Nothobranchius furzeri: one gene and its partner. Each later gene encodes a partner of the first gene's protein in a complex. Links are inferred from orthologs where the notes say so. Each region holds a gene or a part of one and is shown in the gene's direction. Other genes may lie near its edges. The genes, in order: arf2b and ap1b1.

What was found.
Region 2: the proteins of arf2b (region 1) and ap1b1 are in contact, whole or in part, in a cryo-EM structure (PDB 7R4H), measured with the Homo sapiens proteins. The link is inferred for Nothobranchius furzeri from reciprocal best matches to the Homo sapiens genes ARF1 and AP1B1. Residues at the interface, in NP_001019397.1 of Homo sapiens: Glu17, Met18, Tyr35, Ile46, Thr48, Ile49, Gly50, Phe51, Asn52, Val53, Glu54, Thr64, Trp66, Lys73, Leu77, Arg79, His80, Tyr81, Gln83, Asn84; in NP_001118.3 of Homo sapiens: Asn23, Asp25, Pro52, Asp53, Val55, Asn56, Met58, Gln59, Met83, Ile85, Met86, Ala87, Val88, Asn89, Thr90, Val92, Lys93, Tyr121.

What each region holds. Positions count from the first base shown.
Region 1 is NC_091756.1:54,220,133-54,230,314, forward strand, and holds the start of arf2b (ADP-ribosylation factor 2b), read left to right. Parts: upstream 1-4,294; 5' UTR 4,295-4,423; exon of another isoform or gene 4,424-4,457; intron 4,458-4,650; exon of another isoform or gene 4,651-4,695; intron 4,696-5,548; 5' UTR 5,549-5,558; coding exon 5,559-5,706; intron 5,707-6,647; coding exon 6,648-6,758; intron 6,759-10,182. Other genes in the region: mitogen-activated protein kinase kinase kinase 14, read left to right, coding at 57-177, 250-350, 675-839. UniProt on the Homo sapiens protein: Small GTPase involved in protein trafficking between different compartments. Modulates vesicle budding and uncoating within the Golgi complex. In its GTP-bound form, triggers the recruitment of coatomer proteins to the Golgi membrane.
Region 2 is NC_091757.1:46,123,354-46,132,882, forward strand, and holds part of ap1b1 (AP-1 complex subunit beta-1), read left to right. Parts: intron 1-587; coding exon 588-617; intron 618-694; coding exon 695-832; intron 833-907; coding exon 908-1,053; intron 1,054-2,894; coding exon 2,895-3,024; intron 3,025-6,829; coding exon 6,830-6,914; intron 6,915-7,364; coding exon 7,365-7,451; intron 7,452-7,953; coding exon 7,954-8,108; intron 8,109-9,529. UniProt on the Homo sapiens protein: Subunit of clathrin-associated adaptor protein complex 1 that plays a role in protein sorting in the late-Golgi/trans-Golgi network (TGN) and/or endosomes.

The sequences.
Region 1 (10,182 bases):
AACAAGGCTGTGAGGATCTCAGCCCTCCTAATGTCACATTTCTGCTCCTCTTTAAGGACTCTGACCATTCCTCTGATGACCTCAGCTCTGGTGTCTTCTCTTCCTGCAACAGCCAAGCGGACACACGTGTGGAGTGGTTAATGTCAGCCAATCAGACGTCCTCTTGCTGCTTTGAGGGTAAAACCAGGAGTCCTTCTCAGTCCGCCTATCACAGAGGATATCAAATAAACATCTCATGGCCTTTTCCAGGTGTTGACATCTGGATCGAGAACACTCAGGGGGATTGTTTGAGGATCCGAGAACATCGCCGGGTCAAAGTGGGTCACGTTGCCATAGGAATCAGTGATCAGGTATGGAGGTGGGGTCAGTCACTATAGTGACCTGTGAGGAATTTGATGTGGTTTATTTTTTTGACAGTTATATTAGAAAATACTTGGAAATATCTGAAACGCCCCTTTAAATACTGATTTACTGACAACCTGCATTGTTCTGCCTCTATTTAAATGAGTTAACTGAAGAATGTCTGTTTTGACTCTTGGTGAAACTCGGTTTTAGATAATTCAGAACGTTTGATTAATAAGTACATCAGCCCTTGAGCCTACAGAGTTGGTTGCTCTGTGCTGATGGCACGTTTCAGTTTGATCTGATCCTAAATCCTCCCACCTGTCTCTCAGATGTCAGGGAAAGCCTTCAGTTTGGAGACTCTGGACAGGAAGACGGTGTCCTTCGACGAGCAGATAGAGGAGTCTGGTTCGTGGTTCCGTTGTGTTCCTGCTCCAGATAGATGTCAGCGCTGGAGGTGGAGGATCCGGGACGGCAGGCTGGAGCTCCGGGAATGAGACGGTTTCTGGTGCTGCTCATTTTAGAAGAAATCCTTCTTGAAACCATTGTTTTTTTTTTTTTGTTTTTTTGTTAGTTTGTTTTTCTTAAAGCCTGAAGCACATAAACGGACCAGATTCAGTGACAAACAGCAAACAACTCTCAGGATCAATATGTAGGGCTGGATTTTAAGGTTTATCCACAAGGAATTCTGCAGAAGGAGAAGGTAAACAGCAGAAATCCTCCGACGTGTTTCAGACACTGAGCTGCTGGCTGTTGAGGAGAAAACATTCCTCTGATTAGAGGACATCCAGCAGCTCTGGAGCGGCGCCTGTTTGAACAACCATCTGCTGACTCATCAGATCAGGCTTCACGTTTCCAAACTACAGCCTTGGATTTCTGGTCCTAACATGGATACAAAACCTGTTGTTTGTTTGGGAAACTGCTCACACTAGTTCAGCATTTTGAGCTGGTTTAGCGTTTCTAAAGCCTTTTTAGTAAATTCCAACTATTCTGACCTTTGACCTCTAACATTAACAGATATGCTGGAAGTCTGAGTCCTGGGGTCACTATCCAGCTTGTTTTGGTTGTTTTCCTGCCTAAAACACCTGATTTTAATCAGCAGCAGAGCAACCGGCGTCTTCAGAGCTTGATGAGTTGCTGAACAGGTGATTCAACCATTGAATCAAATGTGTTGGAGCAGGGAAACGGCTAAATCATACAAACTCAAAATATTGTATCGCCTTTTGTGGAATGTCAAAACGTTTTAGCTTTTTAAAAACTGCTAATTTTCCATCCTTCTACAAAAGAGAATCCTTAAAAGATAAATGGCCTGTGTTTAGCACCTTCTAGAGTCCTAATGCCCCCAATCACTTTACAACACAATCAATCATTCACCCATTCACACCCTTGTGGTGATGAGCTGCGTGTGTAGCCACAGCTGCCCTGGGGCACACTGACTGAGGAGATGCTGCCGAGCACAGACTCCACCAGTTCCTTCGACCACCACCATCAGCCAATGTGGGTGAAGTGCCTTGCCCAAGGACACAACGACAGCAGCAGACTAAGCTCAGATTGAACCTGCAAACTTCTGATTGCAAGGCAGTCACTTAACTCCTCTGCCACCATCGTTTTAAAGTCTTCTCATGTTCACTACTAAAAGTTAAAATGTTTGTGTATTCGGGTGTGTTTTAAGATTTATATTTCATGGGAAACTTTTAAAATCCTTAAATCTTGAGTATTTCTGGTTATTTATTACTCCATCCATTTTCTGAGCCCGCTTGTCCACGCAGGGTCACGGGGGGGGGGGGGGGGGGGGGGGGGGGGGGGCACTGGTGCCTACCTCCAGCGGTCAATGGCCAATCAGGCGGGGTACACCCTGGACAGAGAGCCAGTCCATCGCAGGGCAACACAGAGACACACACACCTAGGGACAGTTTAGACAGACCAATCAACCTAACAGTCATGTTTTTGGACTGTGGGAGGAAGCCGGAGTACCTGGCAAACTCCATGCAGAAAGACCCCAGGCTGGGAAGCGAACCCTGGACCTTCTTGCTGCAAGGCAACAGCTCTAACCACTGCTCCACTGCGCAGCCCTATTTATTACTCAATAAGAAAATCATTATCTAAAGGCCTTTGTGTTTTATAGATCCTTATTTTTGTCTCAGGCTTTCTATTTGTCAGAACATCCTATTGTGAATGTTTAAGCACTAGTACAGAAGTGAGTGACTTTGTAATTAAAGGTCTGTCTGTTAGAGTAATGTGAAGTTAACCATGTATGAACTCCAAGTTATGCAACCACTGTTCCCTGAAGAAGAGGAACGAGTGGTATATGGGACGTCACGCCACATGTGGCCTGGCTGAAGAAGGCAAATTACGCCAGGTTGTGGGCCTACCCAGGGTGGACTGGCCATCTGTGAGTTCTGGAGATATTCCAGGGTTGAATTTTCGTCCCAGTCAGCCCCTGGCTCCCCCCACCCCCAGATGAACCTTTAAAGTAGAGAAGGACAAACCCTTGTTCAGCAACTCCTGCAGAAACGTTAGCACATCCACAACAGAGCTCTACGAAGGAACCATGGTTCTGACCAGACTCCATTGCTCAAAATCCCTCCATTTATAAGCATAAAAGCCCGTATTAGAGTAAGCTCTCGAACTCTGAACTGTGGCTACCGCTGCTGGAGGAAGACCCCTAGCTAGTTTGAAGCTGCCATTCCCCCCCCCCCCCCCCCCCCCCCCAATAAAAAGCAAAATGCCATTTTAAGTTGTGGAAAGCAAAAGCTGTTTAGACCTAGAAACTATGACTGGTGTTCAGCAAGGGAACATGACCTAGGGATGAAAGCCAACAGGAGAGGTGAGAATAATTTAGCAGATTTGCCCATGCCACTTTAAAGATATGAGAAACGGAAGGAACCTGACCTTTTGACTGAGATTTTCATTTCCCGACTCCCATGGCAAGAGCAAATCTCGCTCAGAAAATCCTTCAACAGTATTTGGCCTGGAAAATTACTGTGGCCACCCTGAAACCAAGCCAGGTGTTGGGCCCGTGCGAATGCCTGATGGCTGGGCTTAGCATTCTGGTGTCATGGACTTGTCTACTTGTGGACCCACCACCTGCAAGAGGAGCATGATGGGTCTGTGTTGGCCAGACCGAGGTGGTAGCGCTAGCAGTTGGATCCTGAATGTTTGGAACATGGAATGACAAGGAAGGAGCTGGGACTTGTGGAAGAGATTGAGCAGTACTGGCTGGATATAGATGGACACGTTTCTACACAATAGCCTTAGCTCCTGGCGTTGAGCTCTCTTCATCACTGGAGAAAGGCGAAGACCCGATGCGGCTGGTGAACCTCAGACTGTCAACCTGTATGTTGAGGTTTACCCAAGAGAATGAAAGTTTCCTTATGTGCCCAAAAGCAGCTCAGAGTACCTACCCTTTCTGTGTTGAAAATGTCAGCTTGTTGTTTGCTGGCTCTCAAACAGAACAACAAAGAATCATTCATTCTTCCACTTACATGATTTGGACTATTTTTTGACATATATGAAATAAACATTGTACATACCGGTATTTCTCAAAGAATTTCCATTACAAGAAACTTACTAGGGTCTACTTACTAGGGTCTACTTACTAGGGTCTTCTAATGTCAGTTTGAGGTGTTTTATAGTATCTGTTGTGGAGACATTGTTTTTTACTTGATTTTGTTTTTGACATATTTAATTAGATATATGTTTATTACTGTGTAAAGGATTATTGGACTTAACCGTGTGAAATTATTGATGAAAGTTTAGCATTTATAAAAACCGGTATAACAGGTATATTTTGACTATATGTTACATTGGCCTGCCATAAACCTGATTAGAAACTTGAGGCCTGCCATACAACCTGATTAGAAACTTGACCAACTTGTCCGCCTCGCATCACTTCCTCGACATTTTGTGCACTTTTCACACGTCGATCCTCCGCCGCTGTGATTGCTTCGCCGATAGACGGGGGCGGGCTCTCACTTACACCATAGGCGCTATGATTGGCCATAACTTGATAGTGGGAAGCACTCGTAACGCCGGTGTCTCCCTGGTTGCGCAAGACGCCATTTTGGAGTGACAGTAAAAGGTAACGGAAAGATCGAGAAGCTGTGTCGTTAGAGGTAACAAACTTCAGAAACACGCTCATCTCTGTACCCTTAAATAGCCTAACGCGTGGTGGTTGTTACTATATTCAAATGACTCGGTTTGAGTGGCGTTTAACATTACGTGATGGTGTTCGCTTAGCAGTGACGCGGCAATTAGCTAATGGTAGCTAGCGCGCTACATCAGTTCCTGTAACTGGTGATCTAAGATCTGTTACGGCGATTTTTTTCAACGAGCTGAACATCAGTTCCACTGGTACTTGTCAATTATGTCAGCGTTACATTTCTTCATAATGTGTCGCTATGTGTTGTTTAAAACATTTGTTGGATGAATAGTTGTCCACAATCGGCTAGCTGAAGCATCCGCCCTTAGTGAAGCTAATAGCGCTTAGCTGAAGCTAACATCCAAAGCTACCCGTTGCGTTATAATTTGTAATACAGGATTTTTCTGTTATTATTTTTCTCTTAAACACTCATCAAACCTCTGTTAGATTAAGTTGGATTGGATGTCGAGCTGCTGTTTACTTTCACGCACAATAACACTTTGCCCAACCGGAGTTTCCCATCTGGAGCAGGCCTAATCAAGGGTTAGTTAGCTGTTAGGCTAATCCGGGTGAACGAGATGGTTGGATCAGGTGATCAAGTCTGATGAATTAAGATTAATTTTTCAGAGTTTTGTTTTCTTAAAAGTTAATTGAGGAACACATGGATTGAATATTTTAGTGTTTACCCAAAAGCTAAAACTCGAATATATTTAACGCGAACTCAACTTTTCTTTTTACCCTGACTCAGTTGAAAACGGTTCCTAGTTTCACCATTAACCTTTGTCTCCCAACTTCTATAGAACACATTTCTGTATGTACCTGTCATTTCCATATTGGCTGTATTGCCTTTTGTGAAATGCCTTCTGGAGTCTTTCTGTTTGACTTAAAACTTATGTTCCTAATGATGCTCCCTCTTCTGGTGCTGCAAAAAACTAACAGCCTTACATTTAAAGTGTTGTTTAGAATGTTGGATTGGATAATTAGATTTTATTTAAGATAAGTTTACTACATTTCATCCTTTTCTACCTATGTGTCACCCTGTTTAACAGTTTCCGTTTCTTACAGCTTTGTCACCATGGGGAATGTATTTGCAAGCTTATTCAAGGGCCTGTTTGGCAAAAAAGAGATGAGAATTCTGATGGTTGGGCTCGATGCTGCTGGGAAAACAACAATCTTGTATAAACTGAAGCTTGGAGAAATAGTCACCACCATTCCAACCATTGGTACGGATTTATTTATTCATGTCAGTAGTAGGGGTAGAGCATTATGTTGGGCTGTTATTTACCATTTTTATACATCAATAGATTTATATTTGTAAGGCCAATTTATAGTCAAGCACATCCTCTGGTAACATCTTTGTTCTTGCTGTGTAGTATTTCTAATTCCATGTTGTAGTTCTTTTTAAAACGCAGAGTAGTTTTGTGTTCCTGTTTTCCCGCTACGTTTCGTTTGCAGCTGCAAACTGCGTCGAAGTTTGCAGCCGCAAACGAAACGTAGCGGGAAAACAGGTAAACAAAACTACTCTGTGTTTAAAAAGAACTACAACATGGACAACCTCTGGTAGCTCGGTGCTGTTGCAGAATTTAATTTAAATGTATTTTTACATTTGCTGATAACATCAGCATAATATGTACTCTAAATTAACTTTATTTAGTTGTCTGACTTTAACACTGAACCATGCACAAAGTTGATATTTAACAGCTAGTTAAATTCAGTAAAATTAGATGGAAAATGTCTGGATATAGGCCATGAAAATGCCAATAAAAATCAGCAGTACGTGTCAGCTGTCGGCAGATCATGTCTCCTACATACTGGCATTGGTATCAGCAATAGAAAAACCATTATTGGTCAACCTCTTGTCAGTAGTGTTGGTTATTCTTCTTGTTGGAAGGCTGCTTATCTTCAGGCTTTTATGTTATAAGGATTATTTTTGTACCAAATATAATTTTAGATAATTGTGGACCAACTGATGAGTTAGAGTTTTTCAGAAGAATAACTGTCTTAAAATACCTGCACAGATTTTGGGTCATTTTTCTAATGTTCAACCTTCAGAGACGAATGTTAGCTCCTCAACCCTGTCTTGTCTGTACACACACTGTTGGTAAATTGTGAACACTTTTTAAAATTGTTGATGCCTCACCATCTTTCCTTCTCTGGTGTGCAGGCTTTAACGTTGAAACGGTAGAATACAAGAACATCAGCTTCACAGTTTGGGATGTGGGCGGTCAGGATAAAATCAGGCCGCTGTGGCGCCACTACTTCCAGAACACTCAAGGTGAGAGGGTGTACTATATTTCAGCTGGCTGTATGTTGCTGAGCATTACTGCCCATAGGTTGCTTCATTGGTGTGTGTATGAGTTTCAAACCAGTGACTCATGGAGCTTCATTCTGTTCTTGGCGTGAAGTGGGTCTCCTGTCCAGTGATGGCACTGATCAGAAAACAGCACTGTAGAGCAGAAATGCTTAGTTTTTCCTTCCAATTTTGTCAGCTGTGTGTGAGTGAGCTCTTTGTCTTGAGTGTAACGTTGAATATGTTGATGATGTCAAAAGTGTCACTTAAGAGAATGAGTTTCAAACAGATCGCAACGTTGAATTACAGCTCCGGTAATAATTTTATATGTAGACAGAAGATTTGGTCCTAATTCTGATTTCACCTGTTGAAAAGTTGCTGCTTGCTGCAGTCTTGTTAAGATAATAAATCGGAGGCAGGCTGTGGACGTGGCTGCCATGAAAAGACTGAGTCATGCATCTTTGTGTTTTTATCTGTTTTTGCTCTCAGCTGAAGGTCAACACAGCCAGCCAGCCGCTGGTACTTAAGCTGCATTAATGAGCTCCAGCTACTGTACAGGCCAAGCTTCCAATAAGACTTCCACTGGAGGGTTGAAATATTTGAACTCATTTTGAGGAAGTGTACAGGCCATGTAACATTTCCCAAACATAGTAACTAGGACAGGAAGTGATGTTGTCTAAGCTTGACAGAAACGTCAGCATCTGTGTAACACTTCTTACAATAATCAGAACTGTTTTTATTCATTTTTCCTCCCAACATAAAAACAGTTTAGCTGTATGTGTTTTGTCTTAATAGACTTTCTAGTACGTGATGTGATGTAACACACGTCTGTGCTGGGATAATCTGATACTGGGACTACATAGAGTCTGTGTTTAGGTTCACTCCCACCAGATCAGATTGTCTGTGATTAGGTTTGTTTACATTTAAAATCCTGAGATGTTTGGTTTTTAAAGAGCAAGTCACCCCTGCCAGAGTCTTACTCCACTCCCACTTCCTGTTTGAAAAATGCTGTTGCCTGGCAGACTGAAAGGGCGAAGCCGCTAACAAATACACACACACACACACGACACTGTGACCTCATAATGTACCAGCTGACATCATAGTATACTTCTTAGACTATAGCAATGGCAGATAAAATTTAAATGCAGTGCAGAGTTTTTACCTGACAACTGTGCAACAATGACAGTTTAGGCAGAATATTTAAATTTGAACTAAGATGCACTAAAGTGCCAAATTATTGACTGCATGCGTCTACAGCATGGTTAGACACTCATTTATATAGTTTATCGGCAAAAAAGAAGTGGATTTGGGGGTGACTTGCTCTTTAAAATCACATCCAGTTGAGGACGGAGTTAATTATGGGGCTGCAGCTATTGAATATTTAGTATTTGAATATTCTATTGAATCGTCCATCAATTCATTAAATATTTTAGTTGATGTTTCAAGTGAAATTAGATTGTAGGCTGCTGCTAAAATGATCCAAATAAAACAACAAAATGTAAAGGATCAGCAATACGAAATTGGTTTGTTTAGTTCCCTTGTTCCCAGCTGATTATATATTTCATTAAAACTTGAGGTTTATTATCACTCGTCCTAGTCTAAACCTATCTAAATTTATTCACATCTGATGAGCAGAAGTGAATTATTTCAGTAACATGTTCAGTAATAAGTTATTGGATATAATATTACATTTCTACTAGTAACAATGTAATGGTGGCATTAGCTTCTCGTGTGAAGTGTGATCTGTTATGTGCCATCTAATAATAAAGACAAGATGACAGCTTATCAAACAGCTTTTAATTAACTTTGTAACCTGTTAATACAAATGCTAGTCAGATGGAGGTACCTAAAAACCAAAAATAAATTGTACACCATAATGACTTGTGCTCACAAATGTATCCAGCTAAAATAGTCTTTATTTTTCTACTCAAGGCTCTTGTTCAGTCAGGAAAGTTAGCATTTAGACATGTTCTGAAGAAAGGCTTGCTCGTCTGAGAGCAGATGTTTCCAGCTGCAGAGAAGATGCGTTCCAATGAGGTGGAAGTGGCAGGAGTGCACAGAAAATATTTAGCCAGCTAAGCTTAGTGTGGATAAACAATCCTCGTTTTCACTCCATCTTCACTGGCGTGTTCTAATCTTCACTCGGGAAATGGCAGGACACACCTAGGTATGTCTCTGTTGAATGACTGGTCTACACATCAGCAGTCGGGGAGCAATTGACCGCTCTGAGGGTTTGCTTTACCTTAAAGGTAAAATATATAAAAGTTATTTTATTTACCAAAGTAATAAATCTGTTATGTCAAATAGGACTGCACAATATCGTACAAAAGTGTGATCTCAGTTCATACTTGTATGCAATTTCATTTCCAAATGATAACGATTTTAAGCAGCTGGCTGGATAAGAAAAGGATTATGTTCTGTTGTGGTCCTGCAATGGTCAACAATTATGTTGTCATGTTAAATGTTATATTTTGTTAATAAATGTGGTTTACATTTTACGAAACAAACCACCTACCTCTCATCGCCTTACAAGCAGAGAGAACATTGTTCAAAGTTTGTAATGTTTAAATAATTCAAAAGTTATGTATGTAAGAGACGAGAGACATTTGTTTTCATGTTCAGTGACAGCTGTTATGAAGTTGATGTGCAGGTAATAAGTGCAATAAATATTTATTTTGGAAAAAAATTGAGACTCGAGATCTCAATTCCTAGCACAAAAAAAGCGTAATTCTCATTTTAACCAGAATTGTGAAGCCTTAATATCAAATAAAGTAGGCTAAGATTTAACAGAGAAAAAAGATATTATGCTTTAACCAATATTAGCAAACTTTTCATTTTATCATAGAATGCATTCAGATGTTTATTTTATTTGTGTCCAGAGAGAGAGAGAGAGAGACAAAGATGGACAGAGAAGGCAATAAAATCACCATCACTACTGTTGTTGCTACGCCAATGAATACAAGTAACTCCCAGCAGCTAACGAAGTAATTAGCTTACAGGTGCAACTCTTTATTCTCCACCATGACGCCATTGTGCTCCGGTGAAAGTTTCTCTTAGCAGATTTAGCACTCTACATGCTTCTCGTTTGTTTTTGTAAAATGCTTCCAAACCTTTGAGCTACGCTGCCGGCGCGCCATGATATCTTGTTTCTTCTGTGTTTCTGATTCAAATGCTGATCTGGATCGCATGTGCCTCTAGGAAAAAGTGGCGACTGACCCGGACGTGACTACTGCACATGTGACTCGAGGAGAAAGACGGAGCAGGCGAGATTTAAAAAATGCTCATGGAATAAACGACTAGTTGACTATTACATTTATTGACTATTTTGTTTGCTGACGTCATCGTGACGCGTTAACTAGTCATGGCAGCACTAATTGTATTATGTACTGGTTGGCAATATAATCCAGTC
Region 2 (9,529 bases), on another chromosome or scaffold:
CCGTAGTTTCCATACACTATCATCTCATATTGTCGTGACATTTATCATGTTAAGTCTCACTCCATCTCTGTTGTCTTTGGATCGTTCATCTTCTGATCAGCTGCCCATTCCCCTGCGCTCGGACACTCGGTCACCTCAGGTTCCACATCAGTCCTCATCGTCCCCAGATTACAGCCCCACTGAGGTTGGTCCTGGAGGAGCACGCTGGACCAGTAAAGGCCAGCATCAGCCTAGAGCTCAACACCACTTGTCCCTCTGCTGTCCCATGTCCTCTCGGTAGCTTTGTGTTGCTCTGCTTGTTTTCCTGCTCCATCTAGTTAGGGTTCCAGTGTTCCGTCTCTCTTTAGGTTTGATCTTTGTTTTTAGTCTTTAAAACGCTAAAGACAAAGTTATCGAGCTGCATTTGAATGAAACCAATCACTTGGGTTTGTCTGCAGACATCTCCCTACTGTTATTTGTTACAGACCACCCCTCCTCTCATCCTCCTCCACCCCCTCAGAAGATCCTGTAGTTTTAACATCAACTTTTATTCATTTATGATGTTTTGTTCACAATGAGTTTTTCTTTTCCTTTCTCCTCGTGTTCAGCTTGGCGGAGACCTTGGAGGAAGCTCTGCTGTAAGTCGTTTTCTAGTTTTCTTAGGCCTTCATCGCTAATGCAATGCACCATTTCACGTGTTCTCTGTGACCCACAGATGGGAGCTGGTTTTGGTGCTGCTCCAGCCGCATCGCCAGCCTCGTTCAGCGCTCCTGTTAGCGGCGGCCTGGATGACCTGTTTGATCTTGGAGGTGGAGTTGGGATGCCCATGGGAGCCTACAACCCCCCCAAAACGGTGAGTCCATGTGCTGGAATGATTCCCTAAAGGAGTTCATCATGGGTGGCTTTTAAAACCAGCCTCTCTGTTTAGGTTTGGCTCCCAGCCATGAAGGGAAAGGGCCTGGAAATATCCGGCACTTTTGCCCGCCGGGCCGGAATCATCCAAATGGAGATGACCCTGATCAACAAAGCGATGAGCGTCATGACTGATTTTGCCATCCAGTTCAACAGAAACAGGTAGGAAGAGCTTTTATCTTACAGCTATTTTCATTTAAAGGGATACTTTGCAACTTGTTCATATTTTTAAATAATTTTCTTGAGCTAAAATGTGCTAAAATGACCCTTTAATGAAGTGTCACTCAGACCCCCACAGCCCTCTGGCCAGAATACCTCATTTGCAACTTTGGAGTGTCGGTCCGGTCTAGTGGACTTGGAAATGGAATAAAATGAGCTGACATATCTGGCACTACAGTCTGCTTCCAGCACGTTTCCTGCATGTTTTAGATCATGAGCACAGCTGATTTGTTTAATTTAGTGATGAATCACTCCTGTAGACACTAATGAGGGCTGGGAGACGTTTCAGCTGTTGGATTAAAGGGATATTATGGAAGTTTGACAGCCCAAACATGTATAGAAATAATACATTTCTTCTACATGCATTCTACTGCAATGCCCTGGTCCTGTAGAATGAGCCCTGGCATTTTTACTGTGATTGCCTGTTTTTCTGTAAGATCACAGAAAAAGAGAGATGCTCGGGTCGAGCAGGCTGCTTCATGCGCGTTCACGCTCAGGCATCGCCCGTAGCATTTGCTATCAGTAGCTTTAGCAGCAGAGAGTGAGGTAGTGCCACTTTGTCGCTGTTCCTAATGCCTAGTGACAAAGCTAGCTACATTTCTGAGGACGCTTAGCTACTTTCTGTAGAACTTTCTTCTAGATATTTCCTGCAAATTAGCAACAAAATAGCCATTTTCGTTTCGAACCGTTCTTTGGTTTGACGTTGTTTCAGGTGTCGTCAAGGATATAAAAGTTACAGAGAGTGTCAATGCTACTAGAGTGTAGCTCACCTTGTAAGATGTCTGACTCCCATGCAGAAGACCTGGGTCCGATTCTGGATGTGAACATAATTTATTTGGAGTTTCTTTTTTACATTAATGGTATATTTTTTTCCGTAAGATGCCCAAATTTTTATTTGAGACTCGCCGAACGGCATTGAATTCACAGATAAAAAAGATGTGGGTTCAACTTTCGTTTTGGAACAACTTTCCAAGCAAGGGAAGGGAATGATCTGAGCATGCAGGAGGACTGACCCATCATAAACCTTTGTCGGCTGTGCTGAAGAGAAAGGTACAGAACCAAATTATTTAAGCATGAAATTTTAGAGAGAAAGATCATAAATGTTAAGTGCTCGCCTCGCAATCGGAAGGTTGCAGGTTCGAGACCCGCTCAGTCTGTCGCTGTCGTTGTGTCCTTGGGCAAGACACTTAACCCACGTTGCCTGCTGGTGGTGGTCGGAGGGACCGGTGGCGCCAGTGCTCGGCAGCCTCGCCTCTGTCAGTGCGCCCCAGGGCAGCTGTGGCTACATTGTAGCTCATCCCCACCAGTGTGTGAATGTGTGTGTGAATGGGTGAATGACTGATTGTGTTGTAAAGCGCCTTGGGGGGTTCCAGGACTCTAGAAGGCGCTATATCAAATACAGGCCATTTACCATTTTACCATTTAATTAGCTGCGCGTTCTCCTGTCCCCCCCCCCCCCCCCCCCCCCACACACACACACACAGGACTGTCTCAGCTGTCATTTTTGTCAAGGAGTGTGCACGTACAGCATGCACGCCTCGTGCACGAGCCTACTATTGAAGCTGCCGTTACGCTTTTGGCCTGAGGGGGCAATCACGAGCATAAAAATTCAAAAGTCTGTAAAGTCCCTTTAAGGTGTAAAAATGTTGAACGCACAGCAAGGAGATGAGATTTGCTTTTGGTTCTACAAACGGGCACTAGGGGGTGCTAAAAGTGCCAACTGTCTAGTCACCATTTGAAAAACAGATTTTTGACCCTTTTATCCACTTTGTGTTTCTCTGCAGCTTTGGCATCGCTCCAGCTGGACCTCTCCAGGTTCTAACTCCTCTGAGCCCAAACCAGACCATTGAGGTGGCCCTTCCCCTGAATACTGTTGGACCCGTTATGAAGATGGATCCACTCAACAACCTGCAGGTGAATTATCCCCTCTGTGCTTGTGCCGCTTCTTGTACAAATCACTTTAGACGTTTTATGTTTAATCAGTTAATTTAATTTTGACTCCATAGTATCGCGACTTGGATAAATTACCGGATGTCGGTCTAAACCGGAGAAATGATGACTGATAGAGATTTGTTACGCAAGAGTGAGACTGTTGAGTCAGTGTCCTGAAAGTCTGCCAATCTGTAATGCACCTTTGCTCTTATACACCCATGCTGTGCTTAAATATGAAAAAGACAGACTGTTTCAAAAGGTTATTTGAAAAAAAAAAAAAAAAAAACAGCTGGTGTCTGTTTGGTTCTGGTCAGGGTGGTTCCTTTTAACTGGGCAGAATGGTGGACGGCTGCAGCTGTGGAGAGAAGATAAGAGTGAGGAGGGATGATGGAGGTTAGGACAGTCATTAGTCGACACATGGCTCCTTTGTCTAACTAGGCCTCAGTGGTGCTGCTAACCTTTCTACTCTGCTGCCTCCTGGCCCTGTTTTGATGGGACCAGCTGTCTGATTTGACAGGTTCCCAAATATGATTTGTTCTGCCGGTTCCTAGGTTTATCTATCACACGGAGCCATTAAGCCCTTTCATATTTGTTTAAAGAAATGTCAGAACAGTTTTTTTCATAGCTCTTCATCTTGGATAATCAAATCAGCAGGTTTAGGGGACACGATTCGGTGCCCTTGGTTGGCTGTTCAGCTGCCATTAATTCTTCTGCAAGGACACAGCAGATAAAATGCATCACAATTGTTCTGTGCTTACGTAAATGTAAACCCAAAACATCTGGATCTGGCTCATCTCAGATTCATCTTGACATGCCCAATAAATGTGCGTTAAACATCCAATGTGACTAATCAGCACATCATCACCAGCTGAACTGAACCAGTTGATCTCAACTCCTCATCATTTTAATTGGTTTGAAGCATCACAATCAGCTTTCTCGTTAAATGCATGACTGTTGCTGCTGATTAGCATTTATGATCTTTCTCTCTAAAATTTCATGCTTAATCACCATTTAATGATTTCCTTGTGGATTAGCCGGGTTAGCCGGAGCAGGTGCAACAGAAGACAGCCTACATTACTTATTCAGTCCTTCTGTTTATTATCTCTAGATTTTGTCATTGTTTTTGTTTTATTTATTTATTTGATCTACTGAATTTTAATATAATGTGCGGGCCTTTTTCAGCAATCAAAATATTCAAATAAAAACACACACTTGAGAACTTGGCTGCATCTAGTGGAGTGTGACATTTAAACATGGAAAAATATTCCAAATGAAGTATCCATTCTTTGCACTTGTATGAGGACCTCTTGGTCAGTGAAGGACACAGCGATGCTTTATTTCAGAGCTTTAATGTCTTGAAAGCTGAATGTCCGTTAGCAGTGCTGCACCTTTTAGCCGCCCAGGTTCACTGAGATACCCTTTTTTACTGGTTTTAAATACAATTGGCCACTCGAAGAAAACATGCAAGCTGAAGAAGGAAATGGTCTTCTACTCCTATCACCTGCATTAGCCGCAGGAACAAAATGGACGAGGGGATGCAAGGATTAGAAAATCCTGACAGATCTACGTCACACTGTAAATTAACATTCATGGACTCACCCACCTTGGCTCATGACGGGGAAGGCTGTTGGTTTAGCATCCAGGAAACCGCAGAGAACGTGTCTGCTAGTAGAAGCTAACTGTTAGCATTAGCAACTCTACCACACAGCAGAACTCCTTCATGCTTGTGTTGGTTAAAACATAGTTTTAAAGTCAGTGGTAGTGTTGCTGTTAGCCAATCAGAGATGAGATGTTCAAAAATCTGGATTAATAATGAGTAAGACTATAAATCCTTCCATTTTCTCCTCCGGCTAACTTCTAGTTCCTGAAACTGAAACACCAGAGCTTTTTTTTCCCCCACAGAGATCGACTCACAAGGCAATCATTTAAGTCGGAGACCATTTCAAATCTATTGACCTAACGAGTGAATGAGAGCTTTACAGCTTCTTGCATGGATGAATTATTTATGAGTCCTTCGTCTCCCATCCTTGGCTGAACTGCACTTCTTTATAAAGCAGGCTGATCCGTGTTGTCTGCTGCTTATTACAGATGTCTCCTTTAAACAAACATGTGCTCTCACGTCTTGTACCGAAGCCTCCAGGGCTCTAATGCTAACAGTCATCATTTACTAAGTCCTACTCTTCTGACCTCCACTTGTTTGTGTTTTATTTGAATCTCTTTTTGATGCTTTCAGAAAAAGCTTTTTATAGATGAATGAGTTTTGATATGTTTAGTCTGTAAAAACAAGTCTCTTGCCCGTCTTACTTTGAGAGGTGGTCTCTAATAAAGACACGTTAATTGGTAATTAACTTGCATTCAACAACCTGCAATGGTTTCTTTAAAAACCCGAACAGAGATTTCTGCTTTTAGAAGCAAAAAGAAGAATTAATTAACATTTTGGTTTGGTTTTAAATACCTGAAAGAAACAATCTGTGAAATAGACCGGGCTCCTCCGTACGAAAGGTTTGATTTATTGGGGCAGCAGTAGCTCAACAGGTTGAGCGGGTTGTCCAGTAATCGGAAAGTTGCAGGTTTGCGTACTCGGCAGCCTCTCTGTCAGCGCGCCCCAGGGCAGCTGTGGCTACATCGTAGCTCATCACCATCAGTGTGTGAATGTGTGTGTGAATGGATGAATGATACACTAGTGTAAAGCGCTTTGGAGTCCTTACTCTGAGGCGCTATACAAGTGCGGGTCATTATCATTTACTTGAGTTTATTCTTTCTAGCGTTCAGACAACCCTCGGATGGATTTAATTCTCTCATCAGAGCCTTGTTCGAGTAAATGAATCCATTATTTTTCACCTGTTGAATAAGCATGAAGCCAGATGAACGCCTGTGGCAGCTGGATCAGTGAAGTCCTCGGCACAGAAACCACGTAGCAGGACCGTTTTTCATCGTTTATTACTGATCCAGGATTTGCCTCATAGAGAAGCAAAACTCAGGTCACCAGAGGTCATTTTTAAAGGAATCTTCTCAGATTTATTAGAACAAAAGAGAAGAAGAAACAAATAAAGTGAATGAAAACGTTTTTGTTGACTCGGTTGTAAAGAGTTCAGAGCCCCTGACTAAAATAGCCAAAACTGGTGCTTAAATGCCAACAGATGGTCGGGTGATTAAATTTCTATCTGTTTAATCATAATCTGATGTTTAACATCTCATGTCAGAAATAAAGTCGTGGCAGATTTCAGCAGTCAGACGCGTCAGCAGGGAAATGACAGATAGTCGGTGTTAAGCGTGAGTTACCATGGAGATATAGACAAGAGTGGGACGCAACCTCTACTTCACATCAGCGGAGCGGGACAGTTTACCTGCGACAACAATGCTGTTGATCTTTTTATAGTTGGCTTTGTTCACCATGTTTGTGATGGAAACGATTTTCAAGTCTGAAATTAAAGATCCGGTGCAGTTTTCTTTATAAATGTGAAGTTATTTGGTCTGACAAGACCATCTAATTATGAAGTCACTTGATTATGAATCTGTAAAGCATCTTTTCGAATAAACTTCTGGAGATTTTCACAGCTTTGTTTTACTGCCAGTAAAAAAGTAACTTAAGCAGATGGATTTCAGATCATCTTTCTATTTTCTCTGAGATTTTGTTCACGTTGTGGCTGATTTTTAGTGAAACCCTAAAACAAACTCAGAATAATTGTCATTTCAAAGGGCTTAAAAACTGAGTATTAATTGACGTCATGTTGATTCCCCCCCCCCGTTGCCCCCTCCCCTCTTCCTGGATATAATCCCCCCACAGGTGGCTGTGAAGAACAACATTGACGTATTTTACTTCAGCTGCCAGTACCCCATCAGCGTGCTGTTCGTGGAGGACGGGAAGATGGGTGAGTGTTTCTTTGCTAAAGCACTTCACTCAAAAGCCTTGAAGCTTCGCTGACGTCAGAGACATGGAGTAATGAGTCGTCTCTGAAAGATTGATGCGTGCGCGGCTGTCCACCTGCTGGAGGACTCCGTCACTTCCCGTGGCAGGGCAGATTGTACTGCTGCCATTTTATTTTTAGTTTTTTGTGTTGCGGTTTGATTTGTTGGATGAAAATGTGCTGGCATTTCTTCCTGTAGAGTTTTGTGATGGGGCTAGCAGCGGGACGGCTGCCAGCAGCTGTGAGCTAATGCTTCAGAGGCTAAGTCACAGCAGGACACCTTTTGTCTGGAGAGAAACTACACTACTCGCACTATACTGGGGCGTTTTTCAACGCATCGTGGGATAAATAACCGAAAATGAATTGACCATGTGTATTTTATTGACTCATCCAGTGGCTTCTTTTTATCAACAGAGCGACAAGTTTTCCTCGCCACATGGAAGGACATTCCTAATGACAATGAGTCCCAGTTTCAGATCAAAGACTGCCATCTGAACTCGGGTAAGAAGTCTGATCGAAGAGCGGAAAACAAAAACGCATCACTGCCACTTTTGTTGGAAACTGCTCAGTTGGAGCCATGTTGATCTCAATTCTGATCCCTGCTAATGAAGCAAACTGCATTTGATGAGTGCTCATCAGCTGCAGCCACTATTTATGTGTCATAATTTAGTTTTACGGCTTAATGGAGAGTTACTCTTGACAGATTGAATTTCTTCTCTTTGAACAAAGATGCAGGATTTCACATCCTCATGGGGTACAGCAGCAAGACTGAGGCTGAGCAGAGACACTAATTCAAAATTAGTGACTGTATCTTTGTTTCTCAGACAACCTGCAGTAAAAAAATTTCGGGTCTGATAAGGGGGAAATAAATTCTTCAGGGTCTGCTGCATTTAGTAATTGTTTCTGCAGACGGCCACAGAGCTTGCCAGGAATCAGAGAGGGACTCTATGCACTGAAATAAAACCAAGCTGCCGGTTTAAACGTATAAATGTTCTGTTAACAGACGCAGCCTCCAGCAAACTTCAGGGTAGCAACATCTTCACCATAGCCAAACGGACCGTGGATGGACAGGACATGCTGTATCAGTCCATGAAACTCACCAACAGCATCTGGGTGCTGGCGGAGCTCAGGGTGCAGGCAGGAAACCCCACCTACACTGTGAGTATCCCATTGCTTCTAGTTGAGTCTGAGGTGATAGATGGTTACCTTCTGTATTCTAGGTGTTAGACACACTTTTTTAGAAACCTTTAACCACGAAAATTGAAATTATTCAGAGAAATGATTTCACTTTTTATAGTTTATTGAAAATATAATCAAGCATTTTAAGTATTTCTGCATAAGTTTTAGTTTATAAAGTTAATCCTATTGCGTCTAATCTTAAGGTGATCATATTTTTATTTTCATAAAAGAAGACATTTAATCTGCTCTGGGACCTGGCCTGCTGATGATGTCACTCTACGGCAACACCACTCAGAACTGTGTTCATTTTGATGGGAGCTTTTAATTTCGTTATTTTTATTTATTTATTTTTTTTATTTTAGTCATCCAATGTGTTTTTGTTTCAGTCTCAGGCGACTAAAGGAAAAAAAGGCACATTAATCTGACTATATATAACAAAAACATTGTTAGAAATACCAAAACACACATCAACAGTTGAAATTGTGTCTCTCTACATTAATAAAGCAAACAAGTCTTTATAATTATTAGAAATATTTGTTTAATTATTTAACCAGACAAAAAGCTGCATGGTGGCATGCTAAATAAAACAAAAGTGACTATGAATCACTTAAAACCAGACCACGGCTAGCTCCAGACTCATTAGTTCTTATCTCGTCCCACCTGTTCCATTTGGTGAGCGGCTCTTTTGTCCCGTCTTCTGTTTGGATTTTTGTCACTGATTATTTTTTTCTCATCTGTTTTTCGTTGATCAATTTAGTCGTTGATTTAGTCTCCCAAGTTTTTATTTTTTTCTGTTCTCATCCGCAAAAATATTTCCGAGGCAAAAAAATTGTGAAAATATTTTGTCAACTAAATGAAAACTGACTCGAACTAGGGGTGGGCAATATAAACGATATAAGGTAGAAACGATATAAAATTGGGTATTGATAGAGTTTTTGGCTATATCGCAATACCGCGATAACACATGACGTCACTAAGATGTGCACCCTGCTGACATTGGGACAACAGAATGGCAGTGACTGCAAGCATGGAGTGGGCGGAGGAGGAGGCCTATATGCGTCAAGTGGCATATTTTTGCCACATGAGGATATTTAAGAGCATGTCATTTTGACATATAAAGGAAAAAATATATCGCAATATATATCGTTACCGCACATGCTTCAGATTATATCGCATTATAGATTTGAGGCCATATCGCCCAGCCCTAACTCGAACTACATTGCTCCCCATTTTTTAACCAGCTAGGTGCTATTCAAGTTCAATTCAAATTCAAAAATACTTTATTAATCCCAGAGGGAAATTGATTAATTAATTGATTAATTGATTCACTATCAGTGTACCAACAAAATGGCTCTCGAAACAGTTAGTAAATTTTTGCTTATTTATATAATTAGCACACC